3 separate regions of the Mus musculus genome follow, and regions 1 and 3 are each reported to be linked to region 2. Evidence: microRNA targets listed by miRTarBase, many of them from high-throughput screens and not tested one by one. Region 2 holds a microRNA gene; each other region holds the end of a gene's coding sequence.

What was found. The annotated mature microRNA mmu-miR-27a-3p reads UUCACAGUGGCUAAGUUCCGC and lies in region 2 at 2,082-2,102, shown strand. An mRNA with a match to its seed (bases 2 to 7 or 8) in the 3' UTR can be bound and repressed. Matches are read on the target gene's strand: a 7mer-m8 pairs with bases 2 to 8, a 7mer-A1 pairs with bases 2 to 7 and ends in A, and an 8mer does both.
Region 1: the mRNA of Bmpr1a is a reported target of mmu-miR-27a-3p. Seed matches in the 3' UTR shown: 7mer-A1 at 3,350-3,356.
Region 3: miRTarBase lists Pparg as a target of mmu-miR-27a-3p. Seed matches in the 3' UTR shown: 8mer at 604-611.

What each region holds. Positions count from the first base shown.
Region 1 is chr14:34,410,818-34,414,817 of GRCm38, forward strand. It overlaps Bmpr1a (bone morphogenetic protein receptor, type 1A), which reads right to left. Exons shown (of 13, transcript NM_009758.4): 12 at 3,943-4,000; 13 at 251-3,852. The coding sequence ends at 3,727. Among named protein-coding and RNA genes, the nearest start is that of Mmrn2, 37 kb to the left of the region's middle.
Region 2 is chr8:84,206,646-84,210,795 of GRCm38, forward strand. It overlaps Mir27a (microRNA 27a), which reads left to right and starts at 2,027; the gene lies at 2,027-2,113. It overlaps Mir23a (microRNA 23a), which reads left to right and starts at 1,873; the gene lies at 1,873-1,947. Mir24-2 (microRNA 24-2) reads left to right here and starts at 2,170; the gene lies at 2,170-2,276. Mir3074-2 (microRNA 3074-2) reads right to left here and starts at 2,262; the gene lies at 2,180-2,262.
Region 3 is chr6:115,489,680-115,493,679 of GRCm38, forward strand. Pparg (peroxisome proliferator activated receptor gamma) reads left to right here. Exons shown (of 8, transcript NM_001308354.1): 8 at 269-722. The coding sequence ends at 516. Among named protein-coding and RNA genes, the nearest start is that of Gm36301, 28 kb to the right of the region's middle.

The DNA of each region.
Region 1 (4,000 bases), not on the chromosome of region 2:
GAAAACAATGTGGCTTTTTTTTTTCTTTGTATAAAAGGAAAAAACAATCCCCTCATTAAGGTGGGTTGGGCATCTACATGAAGGAAAAGCATGCGTCACTTACCTGGCCATGCTCCAGGACTTTCCAGAAGCCGAAATGCAAGCGCAGCAGCGTAGGGATGCACACTTACATTACGTACAAAATCTCAACAGTTGACGTCTGATACACAATAAATCCAAGAACAGCATCACAAAACACATCACTGAAGTATACTAAAATAAGGTTATTTACTGAAAAATGATACATTGGACATAATCTGTATATAGAACAAAGCAATTAATGGTAAACTTCATAAGGCACCTTTCAAATCAGATGCTGTACAAAATACACTTAGTGTTACATATCAAGATGAATCTATATTTTTGGTGTTTTACAACTGCATAATAAAAATGCTTTTTTTAAACCTGTCAATGCCTTATGTACAGTTTCCCTAAGCTATTAATATTTCCATTTTATACAATATATGCTACATTTTAGTTTTTAAGTGGGAAAAACAAAGGCCACTAAAGAGCTTAAATAATTCCACTGAAAGGAAAGAACAGAGCACAACCTAAAAGGACAGTATTATGTCTAATTTTTTGCCAAAGCCATACTCACAGGCTTTCTTTATGGGATGACCCTTCCTGTCCTCTGTGGACTGATACACTGCTTGCCTAGTTTCCACTCCTTACAGCCAGGAGGTGGGAGAACTGTCCCTGCTTAACATCTGACGCAAGTCAACTTGTGTCATTACCACAAGGGCTACACCACCTTTCTTTTCACATGACTTACACCTCTGTTGAAATGGAAACATTTCAAAACAATACATAGCTGAAAAGACAAGTATTGCTTAGGAAATCTGCCCTGGAATAGACTACTCAATATCCAATTTGACCTTAGGCCAAATCAGAGATGCAAGGTTCTTGAAAAATTCGTCCTTTTACTCTAAACAAGAAAAACATCTAAAAAAGAAAAGCAAATTGAATATCATTAGAATGAATAAATTAAAACTGGCACATTCCAGGACAACAGATGATGACAGCAAAAGGTGTCTTTATGTGCTTATTCAAGTTTCTAGACAGTGGAAGGGTTAACATAACATGCTGACTAAAATACCTTTTTGTTACAGTATTTCTAGAGAAATCAGTTCAGATTTTATACTCAGAACAGTACTCAGTAATGCAGAGACCTCAGAGAATCAGGCTGGGGCAAATCTTAACATGCTCTGTACCAGAGAACTACTGGTCATACAAACCACACATGACGGCTTCCTGGATTACTTGGTATTTATTTAGGCAGTTTGGGGTTTGGGGCTTTTATTTTTAATTATTTAAATGATGGCTGATTTTAGCCATCTGTTTTTTAAACTCTAGATTCAAAGGGGAACCAAATCATAGTTTCCAGATTTTTACAAGTTGTTAAGTAACTACATAATACTTATTCCATTACACAGTGGGTTCTATTCTTTTTTTCCTTTAAACTACTTTTGTGGAGTACATGGTGTGTGTCTGTGGGGAGGGGCGCAAGCCATGGAGTGTGTGGAAGTCAGAGGACAATGATGGGGTAGTTGGCTCCTCCCTTCGCCATGTGTCCCCCAGAGTCTGAATTGAGGTTGAGGACTTGGCAGCAAATGCCTTTATCTACTGAGCTATCTCACTGGCCAAAGGGCTGATACACTCTTTAAATATTTTTACTTACTGAATTTTACATTTATGGCTGAGAGGGAGAAGAGAACACAGTAAGTTTAATGCAACTTTTGATTTTAGGATTCCAAATAAGGAAAAGCAGCAGCGTTTGCCATTTCGAGAACGTCACTGATTCCCATGAATGCAGTGATGGCAGCGTGGGAAGGCAGTGACTAGAGCGCTCACTGCCTGCCTTATAATTAACTCCTGACAGCCTTTCTTAGAGAAGAGTCATTACAGTGGCTGCCACACACAACTGAAACATGCCAAAGAATTATTCCTTAGGTATATCATTAAGATGATAAGTGACAAAAAAGATTTAGTTTATTCAGGAAAGATATAAAATCAGACCTCAGTACTCTCAGGCTTTAGGTACATCAGATGAGACTCACTAAACAAACCAGGCAAGACAAATCTCAAATTTGTGGAATATGAGCTGTAGTTTAGTCATGCCTGTAGGTGGACAGATGGACATATGCTCTACCTGCCTCCCATTTAATTTCAGTCACTCTATGTGTTGATACAATCACCTTAAGTTTATGTTTCATCCAAAGAGCCAATGCCACTTGATGCTCACATGGCTTGTTTACTTAGAACATTTAAATAGTATGATATTGGTATAATAAGTTTGAACCAGATCTGTTTTTTGAGATAACAAGGCCTATATTTATTTTATAATAAAATACACATCATTTTATTTAATAACGTTCAGTGTAAATATGGGTAGTGACTGGGTACTTCTGCCTCTTGTCTTCACAATTAGGGACCAGAAATTGTAAAACCAAATTTCAAAAGATTTAGATATCTAAAATACATTTACTGTTAGTTGAAAAGTCAGCTGACATTCTCATAAAGATATGAGACAATATCTTAGTGAAGTTTTAAAATGCATGAATTCTGAAATTCATACATAGTTCTACTTTAAAACACTTCCCACCAAGGATCAGATGTGAGACAGAGTGTATGGGCTGTCTTGTATAGAACTGAGTGTGTAGGTAAAACATGGCTAGAATGACAGCTGTGCAGGTTCTGAAAATAAAAGCATGTTACACAAGAATCAACTTTCCTTTTTAGGAGGTACCGAGAACAAAGACTCCAGAATTTGATCATAGGTATGCACATTGTGATCAGATGCAGTACGGAAGAGGCGTTTCTTTCAAAGTATGGTTCAAGACAGAGAGCTCCAATTCTGGATAGGTGGCTTTTTATAACAAAAATAATTACCAAAAGGAGAACAAAATGGTGACTGGGGGAAAACAGTCCAAGTCTATGGACACTTTACATGGAGTTTGGCCTTCACAACTATTATGCTAAAAATAAAGTCAGTGGAGAAGTTACTACAGTTACAAGGTGGATGGCTTTTATGAAATTGGCGATTGTCAACTAGATATTGCATATTTAAACCACTGGCCACAAATACCTTCCTGTGCAACCTTTACATTCTTGTCTTCTAAGCCCTAGGGCAGCAGAGAATTCTGGTATGCATATCAAAGGTATGGTGCACCATCATAAACCAGGCAGTATCCCAAAGAGATCATAATCTATAGGCTGTTTACAAAGACAGAACACAGACAGATGTTTTCTCTGGTAGAAGGCAAATATGCCTTTTTCCATCTCTGCTGAGCTCATTAATTTTCTTAAGGCTTTCACAGAAAGCACCACTTTATGGACAGGATAGTGAGTACCCAGAGGTTGACCAGAGACTTCTTATCAGGATTGGAGTCTTGATGCAGTTCATAAAAACCAAAAAAGCATCAAAACCAAAACAAAACAAAAAAAGCAAAACAAAAAAACCCCACATTTAAAACAAAGCTGTCCATATATAAAGAATGACATGTTTGAAGTTCCAAGTTCCAATCTTGTATTCTGTAGAGTACGGTAAGGTTTACTGTTAGCAGCCTGTGAAGATGTAGAGGAAGGAGTCTGGAAACCAAGTCAACATCCTATTCCATGCTAATCCCACCCATTCCTTGGGTGAAGAAGTTCTTGCAGTCTAAATTCTCCCTCAAAATTGTTTAATTGTCAAATCTTTACATCCTGGGATTCAACCATTTTTGCAAGTGTCTTCTTGATTCTCAAAGCTGTGAGTCTGGAGGCTGGATTATGGGCCCAACATTCTGACATTAGCTTCAAAACTGCTCGAAGACACTAAAGAGAAATAAATGCAAACAGAGTGTGGTGAGCACAGAGTAACTCGGCACTCACTCATCACTTTACAGGGACTTGGCTCCAACTTACTTCATCGCTGTTCCAGCGGTTAGACACGATTGGCCGCAAGCGTTTCACACACACAACC
Region 2 (4,150 bases):
GGTGCTCTTACCAACTGAGCCATCTCACCAGCCCGACCCTGATGTTTTATAAAGAAGACGTGTGTGTGTGTGTGTGTGTGTGTGTGTGTGTGTGTGTGTGTGTGTTGTCTGGTCTTTGTGCATGACAGTGCAGTACACTCAGAGACCAGAAGAGGGAGTGAAATCCCCAGAAGCTGGAGTTACAGGTAGTTGTGACAGGTGCTGAGATCCAAACTCGGGCCCTCTGCAAGAGCAGTAGCCACTCTTAACCACTGAGTCAGCTCTTTATCTGAAACAAGGTCACTTGTGTCACTATGTAGCCCTGGATGGTCTGAAACTCCCTACACAGACCAAGCTGGCCTTGAACTCTTAGAGATAGTACTGTCCAAGGCCTGGTTCTTGCTTTCCTTTGCCTTTCAAGTGCTGGGACTAACAGTGTGCACCACCATTCTTAAGTTTATTTTTATTGTCTGTTTGTGAATGTTTGCTTACGCGTACGTCTGTGCACCATATGTATGCCTGGTACCCACAGGGGCCAGTGGGGAGCGTTGGAGCTCTTGGGAATGGAGCTATAGATAGCTGTGCTTGTCATGTAGGTTCTGGGAAAGAAACCTGTCATCTCTCCAACATTGAAATTCTTTAAACAATTTTTAAAAATTGTGTGTGTGTGTTCCCAAGTGCAGAGATCAGAGGACAACTTGCAAGGGTCCGTATGCTTTTCTTCTTCGTGGTTCTTGGGTTTGAGCTCAGGGCATTGGGCTCCATAGCAGCTCTGCTCACTTGCTGGATCAGCTTGCTGGCCCCTGAAAACTTTAACTGGCACGCAGGACACTACTCTACATTGGGTAGGCCCCAAATTTTGTGGCTTGCCCTGGTACTGGGTGCTAAATACCTTCTCTGTAAGTTTTCACTGGCCTTCCTAGTAGAAGGTTTGGGGTTTTGTTGTTTTATTTTTGTTTTTCTTCTATTTAAGACTAGGGTCTCAAACTGTAGCCCAGTTAGGCCTAAAACTCATCATGTAGCTTAAGCAGGCTTTTGACTCCATTCTTGGCAACCTTCCTGCCTCAGTTTCCTCAATGCTGAGATAAACGTGAGCCACCAACTGCAACTGTTGTAGTCTGCTTTACAGATGGGGAAACTGAGGCTTGGAAGGCCTAGGGGAAACTTTACTGAGGTGTTATTGTTGGGGTGCATCGGCCTGCTTCTCCTTGCTTGGGCCCTAGGTGGTGTGGGGTGGGGGTGGGGTTATGTCTGAGCTGGCTGGGGAGGAGAGGGCTGAGGTGGGAGGCCCTGGAGTTTCCTCCTGCCCTTCAGGCTTCTAGGAAGTGGCGCCAGCTGGGGTGAGGTCACTTCCTCCCTCCAACCGTCCACCTCCCTCAGCTTCCTCTCCATGGCCCCATTTGGCCTGCTTTGGGCTCAGGGCTGTGGGTGGGGATAGAAGCAGAGTGGGAAGCAGCTGGGAAGGCTCTGCAGCCCCTTTGGCCTTAGGGCTTCAGGCACCTCCCGCTTTGTAGGGCTGGGGTAGAGGCACTGCTGGGTGCCCAGCATCCAGCAGCCTCGCTCCAACCTTCCTACGGATCGATGCTCCTCTTTTTTGGGAATGCTTCTTCCCTCTTGGAAGTAGAGGAGGGCTAGGGTGTGGATCAGCAAGCTGAGTTTAGATTCTGTCCCCAGCACCACTTAAACTGTGTGTGGTGAGGTGTACCTATAATCCTAGACTCCAGAGGTAGAGGCAGGAAGAACTGGTGCATTCGGAAACCTTGTGTTCAGCTATGTGAGACCCAGCCTGGTCAAGATAGGCAGGCAAGCAAGAATGCTCCAATCTCACTGTCTCTTCTTTCTCTCTTTAGGTGCTACACTCCGCTCCCACCTGCTGCCCCCCTCACTGTGCCTCGGACGGCTGGGGTTCCTGGGGATGGGATTTGATGCCAGTCACAAATCACATTGCCAGGGATTTCCAACTGACCCTGTGCTCTGCCTTGGGGGCTCCTGTCGCCAAGGATGTCTGTCTTGGGTACTGGGTAACAGAGAAGCCTATCATGACAACTGGCCTGAGGAGCAGGGCTTAGCTGCTTGTGAGCAAGGTCCACAGCAAAGTCGTGTTCACAGTGGCTAAGTTCCGCCCCCTGGACCCCATCTCCTCAGGCCGCTGCTGCCCACCCTGCTCTGCCTCCTGGCTGGCAGGGCTCTGCCTCTCTCCGGGCTCCGCCTCCCGTGCCTACTGAGCTGAAACAGTTGATTCCAGTGCACTGGCTCAGTTCAGCAGGAACAGGAGTCCAGCCCCCTAGGAGCTGGCAACCCTGCAGAATGTCTGCCGTGAGCAAGACCTGGAAACAATGGGGTAATTAGTCCAACCTAAGCCCCGTTGTCTGCTGGAGGCTCAGCCTCTAAGCCTGCATCTGGGTGTCCACCTTGAGATTTCTGTGGTTCCCCAAAGCAGATAGATGGGCGGGTAACCCTTGCATTAAAAGCCAGTTATGTCCCCTCAGGGCCTGGAAGCCCTTCTTTTCCTAAGTCTGGTGGGGCTCAGGCACCACCCCTTATACATACCATCTTTGAAGTCAGTTACCCAAGAGGAAGCTGCTTTAGGCCCTCTAACGGTTAAATGCCAACTCTCTGCTTCCGGAAGAAGGCACTGACCTGATCCAGTGTGCCTAGCAATCCCATGGGGTCTGCAGCTTTCTGCTGGTGACAGCGAGGCAGGGAGCGAGGTCCACACAGGCCTCAGGATATGAACAGATCCATGCCCCCCCCCCCCATTGGCCTGTTGAAGTAATCTCCAGGCTTGGAAGTTAAAAAGTTGCCTACTACCCACAAATGAGACTGCATGCAGACTAATTGGAACTGGCTGAGTTACACTTCCCAGACCATACAGTGTCCTCTCCCTACTCTGGGCAGGGGCAAATCGAAGCCTGGGTGGAAGAACAGAGTTGAAAGCTTGTATTGAATGTTGTTCTCCAACTAAATAAAAGCTCCACAGCCTCATTCCGTAAGGGCTGACGTCTCTTCATTCCCGCCTCCCACATGTGTGTTGCTGGCTTTTTTCATTTCTCTTGAAACAGCATTTCTGTGTAGACCAGGCTGACCTTGAATCAAACTCCTCCAGTGTCTGGAGTTTGGGAATACCAGCTGCACCACTATATCTACCACACCCTGGGCTCCTAACCTGCATTGCACCTATCCCCAACCTTGCTCCACCTGCTTCTAGGAAGGTGTAAATATAGTTCTGTGGTCAGTAGGTGCTGCGACCTGAAGATCCTGGGATCCTTTGGGGATGGCTTGAACGGGAGGGATAACCCAGACCTGGGGTGTATGAGACCAATCTGTGGTCACCCCAGTTCCATGAGGGAGTATGTTACAAGAATGTACTCTGCCTATGCTGGGATGCACTGACTGGCAAGATGCCAGGGCTTAAGGACGGGCACATATGCGCGCACAGACAGACACGCGCGCATGCACACACACACACACACACACACACACAGGGCTTAAGGACGGGCACATATGCGAGCACAGACAGACACGCGCGCATGCACACACACACGCACGCGCGCGCGCCCGTCTACACACACACACACACACACACACACACACACACACACGCACGCACGCACGCACGCGCGCGCGCCCGTCTGCGCCAGAAGGGCTAAGGGGCGGATCGCCTCTGATCGGCTCCCTGGAGCAAAGGAACGCACCATGAACTATGGCCACACTCATAGTCACAGCCAGCTCCCATAGTGCCCCACAGAGGCAACACACACACACACACAGCTTCCAAGAGAACGGTCCTAAACAATGACCCTGTCAGACACAGCTAAGGACATAAAGAACCGGAGAATGAGAAGAATGCCCAGGCCGTCCGCTGGATGAATCCATCTAAGAACGGGAGTCTCATCCACAGCCCAAAAATGCAATGGGCAGGTCACTGGGGACACAGGCGTCCCCAGCTGCCCTCCGCACCTGGTGAGACCTCCGGAGCTCCGAATGACGTTGTCTGGAGCCAGACGCCCCCTGGTGGTCATTTCCTGCAATGAAGGACAGTGCAATCTGGGTGCATTTTCCAAAAACCTACAGACTCTAGGTTTGGGCGTTTTAAGCCTCCTGACTTGCAGAGATTATGACATGCAGATGGAAAAGCAGTAAAGCCACCAGCAAGAGGTGGCTCTTCGTG
Region 3 (4,000 bases), not on the chromosome of region 2:
GGCATTGCATCAGTTAGTCCTGGTTGGGAAGGGCTTGAGCCTTTGATTCCATCCTTGGGTCTTGCCCATTAGCTGCAGAGCCTCGCTCCACGAACCTGCTTAAGAAACAGGGCGGTGATGGGGTCTTGGCTCTTCGGTAAAGCATGTGCCTAACAGCTCGAGAACTGGGTTTCTTCTCCAGCCTGGGGAGCAGGGAATCTGAAGCTGCACTCCTTAGAGCCCCAGAGGAGGTCTGACAAAGCCTCTTTTTGTCTTCTCATTCTCCCAGACCGCCCAGGCTTGCTGAACGTGAAGCCCATCGAGGACATCCAAGACAACCTGCTGCAGGCCCTGGAACTGCAGCTCAAGCTGAATCACCCAGAGTCCTCTCAGCTGTTCGCCAAGGTGCTCCAGAAGATGACAGACCTCAGGCAGATCGTCACAGAGCACGTGCAGCTACTGCATGTGATCAAGAAGACAGAGACAGACATGAGCCTTCACCCCCTGCTCCAGGAGATCTACAAGGACTTGTATTAGCAGGAAAGTCCCACCCGCTGACAACGTGTTCCTTCTATTGATTGCACTATTATTTTGAGGGAAAAAAATCTGACACCTAAGAAATTTACTGTGAAAAAGCATTTAAAAACAAAAAGTTTTAGAACATGATCTATTTTATGCATATTGTTTATAAAGATACATTTACAATTTACTTTTAATATTAAAAATTACCACATTATAAAATTGTTTATAGTATTTAAAGAATGAATGCATGTCTCCCATTCTGCCATCACAGATGGGGGAAAGGATTTCCTCATTTTATTTCTTTTCTTCTTTCTTTTCTTCATCCTTTGACATGCATATGTGCTCATATATATGTTTATGTGTGAGTAGATGCTGTGTATGTGTATGGAGGCCCAGAGACAGCTCTAAAGCTGGCTCATTCTCAGGACTGTCATCTACCCACTTTTAGACAGGGTCTTTCATTTGGCCTAAATTTAACCAATTAGGTTAGACTAGAGGGTCAGTGAGCCCCGGGGAACGGCCTGGCCCCACCCGCCCATCACTACCCTGTCTGGCATGTTTAGGTGGATTCGAGAGGAGGGGAGGAGCTGGACTCAGGTCCTCATGCTCTCAAGGCTTCACAAGAACCCAAACTTCTCCCACGACTCTGAGTTTTCACGAATCACCAGCAACATGTTTAACATATTGTCATCCCTCTATACTCATGGGGTCTGGCTCCAGGCCTCCTGAAGGAGCCATGGGTGTTCAAGTTTTCATAACAGGAGTTTCAAGTAAACTCTGCATACTGTCCCCTATCCTTTGAACTGTCTCTAGATACCTACAATACCTAACACAATGGAAATGTTGTAAGCTGTATTATAATAGCTGGGAATCATGACAAGAATGGGAAGAGTCATAAAATTCAATAATTCACTAAAATGCCCCCAGAATGTTTGCCCCATGGATGTAAACCCTACAAGTTTGAAGGTTTGACTATACTGCCTACTAATGGGACACCAATGTGGCCCGAGGTGTCATTTCAGCACTGCTAGAAGCTCCAGAGAGCACAAATGTTTTAAGTGTTAACACTATGGGATTGGGTGCTCACCTAGCAAACAGATAGCCATAGGTTTGATCCCTACCACTGCAAAAAATAAAAATAAATAAAAAATAACAAAACCAAAAGCAATCAAAAAAAAAAAGTCACGTTGAAAGAGATCTCTAATTATAGCACTTAGGAAATGGAGGAAGGAAGTAGGATCAGGAGTTCAGGGTTATCTTTCTTTTCCTTTTTTTTTTTTTTTTTTTTTTTTTTTTTTTTTTTTTTTTTTTGACAGGGTTTCTCTGTATAACCCTGGCTGTCCTAGAACTCACTCTGTAGACCAGGCTGGTCTTGAACTCCGAAATCTGCCTACCTCTGCCTCCCAAGTACTGGAATTAAAGGTGTGTACCACCACTGCCTGGCCAAGGTTATCTTTCAATATTGCCTTTCTATCAAGGCCAGCCTAAGATACATGAGACCCCCATCTCAAAAGCAAAGGGAATGGGTGGCTGGAGAGATGGCTCAGTGGTTAAGAGTACTGGCAGCACCCATATCAGGTGGCTCACAACCACCTGTAACTCCCAACTACAGTCCTTCTGAAGCTTTCTTTGGGTAGCCACACACACACATGACATATACATACCCATAAATAAAATATTTTAACTTAAAAATATGAAAGGACAGATGCTTTAGTAAGCCATACAAGGCTGATCACCTGCTTCCCAACCATGGAATTCATATAAAAAGTTGGATCGATAGCATGCATCTGTAATCCCAACTCATGATGAGACAGGAGGCAGAGACAAGACAATGTCCAGGAAGCTCTCAGCCCAGTTAGCTGGAATATTCACAGCAGTAGAGACAAGAAAAACCCTGCTTCAAAAGGTTGCAAGTCAAGAACCAGCTCACAAAAGCTGTCTTCTGACCTCTACACACAAATAAATAAAAAAATAATTATTTTTAAGACGTTAAAGAGTCTGCCAAAATGAGCTTATCATTCAATTAAGAAGAAAAACATGACTCTTTCTTAAAACAGTATAATGCGGGTAACTAATTGTGTGCTGGATGAATGGTTGGGGCTCTTGGTCACATGCTAGGGGACCGTTTGTGGGGAAGCGAAGATTCACAAAGACTGACAAGTCAGGGTGGAACCTGTGGACTCAGGCAGGCCTCAGGATGGTGCTGAATTGAGGCTCTGCAAGAAAGACAACAAAAGGCATTACAGGAAAGAAAGCCAGAAAGAACAACCGAGCAGAAGAGGGGAGGGCCTTGCTGCTCCCTGGCCCTAGATATAGACAGCAGAGATACGGTGACTCTCAGGACCATTTGCCCAGAGATCCCTTACTTTGCTAAACTCAAAGGCTCATGCTCCATGTTATGTTTGCGACAAGTGCCAGAGCAGGTTATAAATTGTTCCCTAGCGTTAGAGGCTTCTGGGTTGTTAAAGCCATCAGATTCACATCATGTCTTTAAAGCATGCCTTGTTACTGAATGATCCTGAAGTCTCTGCTCTCCAGGATGACTGTTCCCAGGCCCTAACTTAATCCCTTCATTTACCGTAACAAGTGGTGTTTCTACCCAGGAGACTACAACTTTAGAGTTGAGGGGCTGTCAAGCCAAAACATCAAGAAAGGTCTTTCTATCCTCTTGGAAGGAAATGTATCTCCAAAGAATGAGATTATGAAAGTGAGCCTTGACTCCAGCCCTAAAAATATACAAATGCTACATCCCTCAGAAAGGCAACCTCAGAGTCCAAACGTTTAAAATGACAGAGAGAGCTAAGCCACATTGGAACCAGAGCCAAGGCTGTGTCTGAGTGACATCCAAACATTTGGAAGGAAGGTGACAAATTCACTCGGCCATATGGTGGTTTCTTTCTGCCTTGATGCAGAGCATCCGGGGATTTTGAAACATCTCGATGACTGCTGGGTGTCTTCACAATGTTGGCGCCACGTTGGGAGTTTATCGGGGAGATGGCAAGAGAGAATGTGTAAGCCACAGGCAAGGTGGGGCTCTCAGTGGGTCCTGGGAGGCGATCCCTTGTTTACAAGGCTCTCAAACAAGAGGCCTTTCAGCTCTCTGCCTGATCTCGGTTCCCACTAGTGCTCCACAGCCTAGCCAAGCCCTTTCCACATTTTCAAGCTCTGTTGCCAATGGAGTGAGGAGAGGGATGCTCTCAGCTCTTTGGCACCAATGCTTAGCGTTAAATAGCTTTTAAATCCTGGCAGCTTTCAAATTCCCATCTCTTGGATTTTTCCCTGTGGCTTGGATGATCATTTGCTAAATATTTTACAACACATTATATTCATCTCTAAAGCTCCTGCTCCTTCCCTGCCCCCACCCCACCCCCAGCATGATTCACAAGTTAATCAACACATGCATCATCGGTTATTCATAGCACTTTCTCTAGGCACAAACACATTTAGGGATGCCTGTTAATAAAAATAGGAAGAAAAGTAACTTTAGTCAAGAGTCAAG